2 linked regions of the Caenorhabditis elegans genome follow. The protein of the gene in region 2 interacts with the protein of the main gene of each other region in a pairwise test. Each region holds a gene or a part of one and is shown on either strand. Other genes may lie near its edges.

Evidence for each region.
Region 1: the proteins of tbx-36 (region 2) and ceh-8 interact in a two-hybrid assay, tested with the Caenorhabditis elegans proteins (one large-scale study listed by BioGRID).

What each region holds. Positions count from the first base shown.
Region 1 is NC_003279.8:8,244,740-8,252,796, reverse strand, and holds ceh-8 (Homeobox protein ceh-8), read left to right. Parts: upstream 1-1,848; 5' UTR 1,849-1,900; coding exon 1,901-1,952; intron 1,953-2,746; exon of another isoform or gene 2,747-2,780; coding exon of another isoform or gene 2,781-2,826; intron 2,827-3,186; coding exon 3,187-3,449; intron 3,450-5,742; coding exon 5,743-5,840; intron 5,841-5,888; coding exon 5,889-6,017; intron 6,018-6,072; coding exon 6,073-6,181; intron 6,182-6,762; coding exon 6,763-6,942; 3' UTR 6,943-7,292; downstream 7,293-8,057. Other genes in the region: col-63 (Nematode cuticle collagen N-terminal domain-containing protein), read left to right, coding at 7,849-7,915, 7,965-8,057.
Region 2 is NC_003282.8:11,948,909-11,952,963, reverse strand, and holds tbx-36 (Putative T-box protein 36), read right to left. Parts: upstream 2,395-4,055; 5' UTR 2,361-2,394; coding exon 2,209-2,360; intron 2,156-2,208; coding exon 1,867-2,155; intron 1,443-1,866; coding exon 888-1,442; 3' UTR 756-887; downstream 1-755. Other genes in the region: hdl-1 (putative aromatic-L-amino-acid decarboxylase), read left to right, coding at 3,200-3,256, 3,301-3,441, 3,487-3,570, 3,821-4,055.

The sequences.
Region 1 (8,057 bases), on a different chromosome or scaffold from region 2:
TATAGTGATATTTGGTGGGGTTTTAATTATCCAGGGAGTATACGGAAGGTAGGTTTCGGAGTTTATGATAAACAAATGTAAAAGTCACGAGTTCAGAGATACGAGGTTTTTGCAACAACCCGATGGAGATCGAGGCCAGCAATCTAATATTTTAAAACAAGAAGTACTTAAAAAGATGATAAAATAAGGCAAAAAATTAATTTCTGGAATTCGTGGACAGTGTTAGATACTGTAATAACTCTTCTTCCAATCAAGCACAGAATATCCCTTCAAGAACGCATCGCAGTCTATGTGTAAGTTAAAAATTAAAAAAATATACGATACAATATTAAAAAGAACAAAGATGAATACTTTAAAAAACCGAAGTAAAGCATGGTCACCAGACCTAGGTCCTTAGGCTTAGTTGCTTAGCTGCTAATTCGATACGATAGGTTACATGAAAATTGATCTATATGATGGATTATATATACAGGGTGCGATTAACGTTTTGAATTTTCAAAATATCCCCATCCGCATCGCTGCAGGACCTCAGAACTTTTGAGATCTCAATTTTTTGGCACGCAAGTAGGCACTCTGCGGGATTTCTACACTTTTTCTCGAGGAATCCACAAGTGTCTTACAAGTTTTTATAGTTCAAAGAATGCTCTTGGTCTAGAGATTCCTAAAAAACAAAAATCCAAAAAAGTTCTGTCATGGTATGACTGTGGCAGTACTTTGAATGACAAAGACGCCTTGAATGATACAGTCGCCAGAAAGGTGGATGTGGGCGGCGGCAGCAGTATCCAAGAAAATTAATTTTAGTACTTTTCGACACGTTTTGATCTGACTTTCAAGAATTTTTATAGAAGATTGAGCTCGGATGATTTTGTGAGTCGTTACACCTTGTGAAGACAAAAAAAAACTGAGTAAATTTCGCAAAGTTGATTTCATGAAATATTCAAAGGTTCTTGCTAGGCGCCAGTGTCGACACATAAAATTTTTATATGCTACGAAAACAATCAAAAACGCTTCTTAACTTTTTAAACTTTGGATTTAACATGAAAATCATACATCTGAAAATTATTGGCGTCCGTCGGAGGTGCGTTTGTGTTGGAGGTGCCGCGTGCCAAAACACCGTTTCGGCGACAGGGATCGTCAAATTGCCGAGGCGATAAAGATTGCACCTTATTGGGAAACATTACAAATTTTAGGTCAAATTGAAGGAAATTTATTCAGCTATCAGTATTCTATAGAAAATTGTACGTGTGAAGTGGCAGTCGCGCGAAAAAACCCATTTAAAAGAGCGCTTCACGTGTTACCATACTTTTGGCGCACCCTATATATATATATATATATATACATTTGGCCTACGGGACATTTTTCAACTGAGCAAAAGGTGTTGTACGGTTACATAAATGCCTCTAAGAGACGCTGTGTTTTATTACAATTGGGAAAAAATATCACGTAGGTTGTAAGCTGTTTAGTATAAAATGTTGCAAGCATAGCAACTTATTTAATGTAGAAAAACTTTTATGGTTTGCAATTTGACCAATTTTTGATAAATCCCTACTTCAAAAGACACTTAACCAGCTAGAAACGTTTTTCCCGATATGCTGAACATGTGCCAAAACGCATACTGTATTTATTTAAGCATTGAATTCCCTTGAACATAAAGCATGCGACCTGATTGAGGAAGGAGCACGAAATATAAATTTTATGATGACAATTTATGGTTTCCTCCCGATATTCCAGCTTGTTCCCTTTGCTGCTTCCCATCACACAGTTCTTCTTTAGATTTCTTTTATTGGATGGCTCCTCCCCTCGCTCCAAAATATTCCCCCCTAGAAAACTGGAGTCAATCTCCTCCCCAATATATTCTGCCACCCTGCTGCCCTCAATTTTTCCTGTCCTGTCATCCGGGATGAGCAATCCAACTGACAACAACTCTGCCACGTCATCGATAACACCAAATTGTGAGTTTTTGATGTTTGAAGTCTCTACAAATTTGGTAATTCAATTCACCTATTTTGTCAAATTATATCCAAATTATTTCCAAATTCGATTTGCGAGCTTTTTTGGGGCTCCACCTCCACCCCCTCTAATTGAATGGAATTTTAGTTGTTTTTTTTTCGTTTGAAAATTGGAGATTATTCATATGCTTGATTTGTCGGATATGTTCAAGAACGTTTGATTTAATTTCAAAATTTAAAAAAAAATCAAAATCTCTGTTTTTTAGATTAATGAGAAATGTTAATGAGAAATCTAGATTCGAATTTAACTGTGAAAGAGTATTAAAACTTTGTCCGTCGGGGTTCCCAACAAGCATTTTTCTTGAAATTTTAATACATCATGCAGTAGAACCTTAACGCCACATTGCAAAACACGAGCTTAAAGGTTACGTTTTCACTTTTTTTTCACTTTTCAGGGATGCATGTTTGAACTGATACTTTTAAAGTATTATCAGCATCTCAAGCTAGATCAATCAAATCTAATTTTCTTTCTCGCTCTCAAATTTCTTAAACTAAAATACTATAAAATACTCCAAGTTTTTCAATCAAAATAGTAAACTTTAACTGATATGAAGTCTTGTCAACACAACCTACCAACGCTAACAAAAGTTCTCTAATAAAATGAGTAATCCCCAAATGACCTCGAGAAGCTGCTGGAAGAAAAGTCATGTGAAAAGCATACGTTTCTTTTCCAAGGCTATCAGGTGAGATATGCGCCAAAATACGCATTCTCATTTTACATTTCTAAACAACAAATCTGAATTAAAAACATATTAGGTATTTATTTCTTTAATGAACATTCCAAAGGGATTTTATTATCCTGGATTTTGGACTGATGGTAACGATTCTTATTACTTATCAGAATAAATATCACCCAGATTCTAAATTTTGCCAGAAGAATGCGGTACACGGTCTCGATACGACCGATTTAAGCCCAAAATTTCCGGCAATCGTACCGGATTTTCTGGCAGTTTTCAGTACTGTAGTTCCCAACTCCTCGTCGTTGCGGATTAAAAAACTGACATTGAAAATGCGATTATCCGTTTCTAGAGAAAATTCTTCCGTAAAAAAGCACATAAACCCTTTTATTCGAAATTAAACCATTCATACAATAAGCCATCGTAAATTTCAGAAATCAAATGTTTCTCGAAAGCAATTATTCAACTTTTTCCTAAACTCATCTCATTTTTTTTTTCAGTTTCGGCGTTTTCCTCATTTACAACATACAAACCATCCGACTCATTTTCTTCATTTGAATCTGATTCTTCTCCATCAAAATCATCATCATCACGAAAGAATCGAGATAAGATAGCAGACAAGAAGCAACGTAGAAATCGTACAACATTCACGACATTTCAACTTCATGCTCTTGAAGCTGCATTTGATAAAACTCATTATCCAGATGTTTATGCAAGAGAAACATTGGCTGCTAAAGTTCAATTGCCAGAGGTTCGAGTTCAGGTGAGAACATATTTTTTATCTGAGAGTAGAGCAGCGAAAAATATTGAAATTTTATTATTTACTGTTAAATTAAAAACAGAATTTAATCAGTTTTCACATATCAATTTTTTAAGTTTACCAGAATAACCAACACAATTTTTTTGCAATGTACCAAAACTAGACTGACTATTTTGGCAAATCTAAAATTTCCATTTTGAGAATATTTTGGCATTCCGTCTTCAATATGAAATTTTAAAAAATTATATTGTAACATATGAATCAGTTCTGGTAAATCGCAAAAAAACGGAGGTTTCCTTGAATCTGAAAATTTACGGGTCACCAAGAACTTATTATTTTTACAATAGTGCCTCTTTGTTTTAGAACATCTTTTGCTTTAACTTTTTGCTGAAATAAAACTTATTTTTTTTTTTTAAATAGTATATATTATTCACAAGAGTAAAACTGAAAATTCACGGTCGACTAGCCAGTGTTGTTCAATATGAAAATGACTGCAGTGGAAGCTCTTGTTGTTTTTTTGGAGATTCGACTTTATTCGAAAAGCGAGAATTTGAATTGCTATCTAATAAATGGGGGGGGGGGGGGGGTTATAGAGATTAACAATTTATATTGTCAAATTTGATATTTTTTGTAATTCTCAAAATTAACAGAAAATTTGAAATACTCTGCGATTTGGTAATTAAAACATTTTCAAATTTGGATACGGTAATGTTCAATTTCGAATTTTTTTTAGTTTACGAAAAAATTTATCCAGCGTAGTAAAAGATTAACATATACATGGCACAAAAGTGAATTCACATATTTTCATTCTTTAATATAATTATGAATATAACTCCACTCGAGAGCTCATGACAATTAAAATTCGAACTATTTGCTCTTGTCCATGACCCTACTTGTCCTTTTTCCATGCAGCTGTGAAAACTGATCTCATCCGGAACAATTAGTAGTGTTAAATTGGCAGGTTAGCACTCCTGTCACACTTCCTTATGCTCTTCTGATTTTTGAGTCAAAAGGGGGACAAACAATAAACAGTAGAAGAAGAAGAAGAAGATAAGCATCTGACTAATCGACATTGTCTTCTCAAATTTCTTTTTCTTTTCCGTCACTTACATCCTACCAATTTAAGGATTACCTCGCCGAGTCTCGACACATTGTTGTCATACAAGGAAAAATATGGATGCTGGGGAGTGAAGAAGTACATTACGATGGACTTTGAAAAAATGAAAATGAAGTTCTATTTGTAAATTGGGGGGGGGGGGGGGGTGGTTATAGATTAACAATTTATATTATGAAATTTGACAATGCTCCGAAAAAATATTTTTAGACAATTCATTTAACGTATATTCTCTATAAGATATAATGATCTATAAAACACATGAAAATCATTAGATTTTTCAATATTTTCAGTCAAACAATCGGAGCTTTTTGAGTAACTTTGAGAAATAAAAAATCGGATTTCTGTTGGTTTTTCCTTTATTTCTAATTCGGTATACTTGGTGTAATTTTCCGGCGGACTGAGTTTCCCGTAAAAAGAGCGAGCGTTCATCAAGACAGTTTACACATTCTTGATGGGATTACTGTAGGTGGTGGATAAAGAAAGATGTTAGGAGGAACAAGAGAAGAAAGTAAAAACATGGCACTTTAATGGACAAGATGGGGCAAAGGGAGCATAGAGATTGACAACTTACTAATTGGTATACGGTAGATGAGGGAAATAGTGGCGGAGAAGTCGAATGGGAAAATAATAAATTGGGGAGGAACTTTATTTTAAATCAGATATTCAAAATCTACATTTGAAATTTAAGTTTTGAAAATTGAAGCCTTTGGTTTTCTAATGGATGGTGCAACTAATGGATGGTGTAACAAACTTATCATAAATGTTGCGTAAGTATGTAAGTCGCCTAGAAAATATTTTTATAAAGAATTGGCAATGGTCGGGAAGTTTACGTTAGAATTTTTGAAGCTTGAAAAAACGAAACTCTCAAACCTCCCACCTGGACGTGATTTTTTTCCACTGTAATTTCTTCCAGAGTGCAGATGGTAAAATTTTGTCAACAAAAAAAATTGTAGAAAAAATTATGGGAAACATTTGTTTAGTTAAAATCTTTTTGCGAGCTACTGTAGTTTTCGAGTTATACTTATTTGAAAAACAACAAAAAATCATCGCAAAATCAGAAACGAATATTATATTTTAAAAAATTGGGTCAATTGTTATAAACGTTAGGTAACTTTTATGTTCTGACTTTTCTGTAAATGTCCTATTCAATTCTAAATGTTTTACTTTCTTCTGTTTCAGGTATGGTTCCAAAACCGCCGAGCTAAATTTCGCCGTCAAGAGAAGCAGGATTGTCAAGGAGAGGAGAAGCATTCACTGAAAGATACAATGCCATCTTGGTTCGCTTCTTATGATAAATGCCCGTCTAATAGAGTTATCACATTTAGGTCATGGATGAGTGAGAATAAGACAGATACACCGCCAATGCTTCCTCCAGCAAATACACTTTCATCAACTCATAACAATGGAATTTCCGATGAATTCTTCAAGACTTCCGAGGGAAAAGAAGTTTATGGGTTTGTTTAAAAAAGTTTAATTTCTAGATTAAAATCAATATAAATTGGTTTTCAGGTTTCCATTCGCTGAATATGGGACTCCGGCGGACAACACGCACGTCAGCAAAACTGGAAACGTTTTTCATTTGAATTTCGAAGACAGTGATAAGAAATCAATGAAAAAAGTATGTTTCTAGTAAATAAAAAGCTTACGACTCGCCTAGAAAGTGAAGGAAATTCAGTGAAGAAAAAATATTTTTTTAAAAATTCAAGAAAACGGCTGTACGCCTTTAAGAGTACTGTAATTTAAAGCTTTCGTTGTTGCGGAATATTCGTGGATTTTTCATTCGAAAAATCATTCTTACGACTTGTTATTACGGGAACAATAAATCATGAGAATGCGTACTCGGTGCATTTTATTTGACGCTAAGAGATATCGCGCGTCAAATAAAATGCACCAAGTACGCATTCTCATGATTTATTGTTCCCGTAATAGTTTTTAATTAAAAAATTATTAATGAAAAAGGATGAAAATTTAATTAAAATGCTACAGAAACGATAGTTTGATATTACAGTACTCCTTAAAGGCACACACATGTATATATTTAACAAAAAAGCGACGCGCCGACACCAAGTACCGTATTTTTGGCTTAAAAATATCGAATTTTCGCGTCTGAATAAGCTTAATGTTTATTTTTCTGTAAAATTACTGAATGTGTATAAAATTGACCATGAATTTTTCAAATTGAACGCGTAAAAATTCCAGGAATCGCCTCAAACACCATCGACAAGTAGTCCATTCATTTCGGAATATCATCCACCATTTATCCCTTATTATATTCCAAATCAATCATTTTCCAATGCATTTAATCAATATCCAATGCCATTCCCCTATCCAATTCACTTTGAGCCACCACAACTTACTCATAGTCAGGAAAATTGTTGATTTTATATGGAAAACTATTACGAATGTTAGATTTTACTCATGTTTTTTTTTAATCTACTGATTTTATGATTTTTTCTTCAAATATCCCCCATTTCTTCAATCTTCCTTCGGCACAATAAACAGAAGTTTCCAAGGGGGCGGCGCACACCTAACACATTTTAGAGTGGCGCGCGAAACCCGTGATATGTCGGAGGCCGCAGCAACTATCGTCTAGCAGCCGGCTGTCTCATTTATTGCAGACCGGTGATGAAACTGTTCTAGGAAGTGCCGTCTTAGAAACAATGATTATGAATTGGACGCTGAGGTCACTGCAACTAAATTAATTAAAGATTGAGTATGAATTCAGAGAAGTTAATTTAACAAAGATTAGAGCTATGTTTTATTGTTTTGCTGAAAAGTTACAGATAAATCGAAGAGCAAGAAGTTTCTGAAGTATTTTCTCATGATTCAGCCAGATTATCTGTATCAGTTTGTTCTTACAATTGGAGCATCGCCACCAATGAGTTTTCAGAAATAATTTTCTAAAACATGATGAGCTTGTCATGTTATGCAAGGGAAGAAGATTGTAGCATTACAGTTCGTCGAAACGTACATTTACCTTCATGAAAGTTATGAAAACTCTGAATGGTTAAAATACAAATATAACAAATAATATTCAAACCACAAGAAGAAAAATCATTAATTTCTTGAAATTCTAAGCCACATACACCCATCGGTTATTGCTATGTGAAATAACACTCGATAAAGGGAAGGTGTATCGCCGAAAAATTGAGAAAAAAGTAGACGGATAGGGGATCCTTTCCAAGCGAAAAACTGGCTATTATGCAACACGCAGATCTACTTTTTTTGAGCTTTTTGGATACGTATATAATGGCAACGATTTTTACGAATAGACATCATCCAACGATGACAACATCTGGACAATTGGTTGCTGGTACTGCCGTTGCACTCTGCGGAGTTGCTATTGTTCCAGGTAAATTCATTTTTAAGTCATTCTGCTCACGAAATGTCTCAATTTTCAGCTATTTTTGCCGCACTGTTTGTCCTTCACGACATTAATTCCTTCCAATCAGGAGTATATGAGGATCTTGCTGAATTCAAAACTCTTGCTGAAG
Region 2 (4,055 bases):
TCTAGGCCACGAAAAGCTCGTCCTGGGGACGCGGGCGCCATAACTATTCAAAACTAGAGGAGCCCAACACAAAACTGTTTACAGGACAACGCGCAACCATCATCGGTGGGCGAGACCGATGAAACTGCAAGCAAAAGATAGCGTTTCATGGAGGAGGAGGAGGAGGTGACTGGCAAATAGATATTTAGAGAAAGAGAGAAATAGAGGCAACATTCGGGGGAAAAATAGAGAAAAGATGCTCCGCCTATTTGAAGAAGGAAAAAAGAAGAGTGGGACGAGTGTCATTGATCTTCGCCCATATTGTGTGGTGCTATTGCATAGGACATACGATCTGCATAGCAACAAAACAAAAGAAGCAGGGTCAATCGACGTCATCTGAGAAAGAATCGAGACAGTGTCTCGCTAAATTCGCGTCAAAAATCTCATTCAACGAATTTTGAATACCAGTTTTGTTTTTGTTTCTCTTTCGATTTGTTTTACTGATCGACATCTTTGATTCTTCGTAAATAATCTTCAGAATAAGACAACCGATTTTTAAATTTTATTTCTCCCCCAGAGATTTGACAGAAATTTTTGAAGAATGTGGCTTTTTCGGTGGTCGCTTCCATAACCAAACATAGAGCATAAAATATTTTTAAAATGGAAAAAAAATAATTAAAAAATCCGAGCACCAAGACGCGCTACCATAAACTTTTTCTCCCGACGAGACCCATTGGAATGAATTCATGCGCCTTTAAGAACAAATTCTACACTTTTGATTTTATTTTCATTATTTATTGAAAAAATTTCAAGAATGATAAAACGTGAGCTTGTTAGTTGTGATAAAAAAGAAAAACAGGTTAGTAATTTGAAACCGGATAAATCTAGACATAAGCATAAATCGAAAGTTATAACCGATTGTATGACTGGAAATAGTTTTCATGAAATGAATTGTCATAATATTGCTGATTATAAAAATCATAATGGACTGTGGGCGAAGTTTGAAAACTAGGAGATAATTGGTCTGTTTGTGGAAAAGTATGAACCATCTGATATTCTTCTGGAGACGATGGGTAGAGAGAGTCATAAATAGAAGATGGTATTGATTGTGGAGAATTGTATTGATATTGATAAAGGTACGATGGTGACGAAGGTGATGATTCAAGCAAACTCATGATTCCCTTTTCAGCATTTTTTAGTTCCTTCTCATCTAGAGATTCGACAGGAAGTTTTGCTGGACGTTTCGAACGCTGGCACTTTGTTCCACTGATTTCATACTTTCTTTTTCTTGAGAAACGATTCATACTCTTCTTCAATTCACGATTGACTTGTCCACGATATTCAGTGCAAGTGATGAATATCATTTCGTCGAATTTCGTTTCCTTCAGGTATATCAGTTCGTCGTTTTGCATCTCATACAACACAACTCGGATTTGATACATTGTTCTCGAGGAGAGACACACCTGAAAATTTGAAAAAAGTCTAAATGACCATTGCGCAATTAATCGTTTTGGTTTTCAAACATGCTGATTATTGGGGACGCAAAAAATGCCCCTTTTGAAATCAAGGTGCAAAAACGCCCCGCCACAAAACGTTGGGTCTCGGTAGGTTTTTGATTTTGGCGGAAAACCTGTAAATTGGTGAAGTCTGCAGAACGAATTGAAAAGGTTTGAATTTACGGTTTTGTCTCCAGAAACCTAACGAGACCCATGGCTAGAGGGCGGAGCATATTCACCTGACCATGGAGCGAGCTTTCACAATGATTTCAAAAAATCACTTATTTGCGTCAATATGATTGATTGCATTTAAGTTATGGTGCATAACACCAGCTACTTTACAATTCACGTGCTCATGTAAAAATAATGAAATTAATTCTACAAAACTCACAGCAATCCTGTTTTGTTCGATTTTCTCCTTGGCTTTTTCGTGGGAGCTTGTAATATTCAATGCACCAAAATCCATATCTCCATTCATAAACCAATCTCCTGTTTCACAAATCATTGAAGACAGCGCCGAAGATTGACAATTGACGGGTGTTTTCGTTGGAATCCACTTTTCGAGTTTCTTATTATACGAGAACGTGAACGGGCTGAGAACATCAAAGCAAATCTCCACCGAGTAGAGGAGAGCCGGATCGAGACCACGTACTGAGAATTTGGCAGCTGGGAAGAGTTTTCTGGAAAATAAATTTTACATTTTGAATAATAAAATAATAAAAACAGAAATTACCTGCAGTCTTTGTAGACTACAACTTCATGAATTCCAATAAGTTGATTCCACTGTTTCTTCGTAATTTCACTTATTTCAATTGAAATATCAGGTTGTCCATCTGCCAATGCAGGCATCAAAAAGTCATTGTAGTTGTACGTGGGCTCGTTCATTTTGAAACTGAAAAAATATAATAAATTTACAAATAATTATTCAAAAAAAAAACAAATGCCAAACTACGAATAAAAACCATGTCGAGCGGAGATGTTGTGAATCAATAGTTATAGATCAATGGAAATAAGTAGGTCAAAAATTTCCTTGACCACCAACATTGTGTATAAATTTTATTTTTTGAAGGTATAATATCGCCAGTAGGGAAAATGTTTAAACCAATTCATTTAATGTTGTCGAAAATTTTTTGAAATGATTTACATTAAAAATTGGGGAAAACTCAGTTTCCCCGATCATATTTTTGGGAGTTTCATGTTTTTTCATGATTTGAATTTTCAAAAAATGTTCTCATTATTTTATTTGAATGTTGTATGAGATGTATGAGATTCTAATTTGCAGCAATACTCGAACCTTCTCAAAATGCCAAAACTTCTGGAAAATTTGGCAATATGCGAAAACTTTGGCTGAAAATTTGGAAAAATCTAAACACTTTTGGAGTGTTTAATTATGATATTTGGTCATTTTTGAACTACTTTGAGTATAATTAGACCCAATTGACGATACAGTAACAGTTAGATTTTTTATTTATTTTTATTTGAAATCTAAAAAATGTCGCATTGAATTCAATATATGAATTCAATATTGTCCGAACTTTGGTTCGTTAGGAATTTGAAAATTCTGTTTAAAAAGTTTAACGTGGCCTGTTCAACTTGTTCAACTTTGATTTCAATTTAAATTTAAAATCTTTCCGCGTTTTCGCTTCCGTCAATTTCTTTCAAAACTGATTCATTCCTACGTTTATTGTCTTTAAAAAAGACTTTTTATTCAATAATTATCAAAAATGTCCGAAAAAGGAGAAACTTTGATAGAAGACACCGCGGAAATTGAGTTCGAGCAGGTAACACAATTCAACTGATTCTATATAAATCATTCTAAATTCAGACAGTTGATAAAACTCAACAATGGGGTCGTCTGAAGAATGCAGCCGCATTTTCATTGTTTCGCGACTTGCACATGAATGAATCATTGCAAAGGAAACATGCAAGAAGTGATTATAAAGTTTATGATTTGAATAATAGAGTGGTTAGTTGGAATTGATCTAGAGTTGGAAACTCATAGGAGTTTCAGATATTCCATGTGATAAATACAACAGCAATGCCAATTACAAAGGATGGGCCGTTTTGTTTGAAAGTTATGAATAAGGATAAAAAGGTAAAAGCTTTCGTAATTTCTCGTTTCTGTTTTGACCATTTTGCCATTTTTTGAAAAAAGTATGTAGCTCGCCTTTCACCCTGCAACTGCACTCGCCTATTGGCACCTTGTCGATTACAAGCTTTTTCTACACAGTTTCTCTCTAACTAACTTTTAATTTTCTCCTAACTTTTAATTTTTGAAGATATTTTTCCCTCTGAATTACCGAATCTTAATAACCTTATAAACCTAAAAAATTTTCCAATTTCAGTCGGTTGCCAAGTTCCTTCGAAATGAGCCAAAACGATCCTATAAACAAACTGGTCTTGCTTCTCTATTTGGCTGCTGTTCTGATACGGAAGATACAATGGAAGTACTTGATGATAATGGACTGATCATTGCAACATCCTTTCTACATCATGATCAGTTTCGAGGAATCCTGATCACAATGAAGGATCCTGCCGGAAAAGTCTTGATTGGAATTCAAGCATCTAGAGATCAGAAGG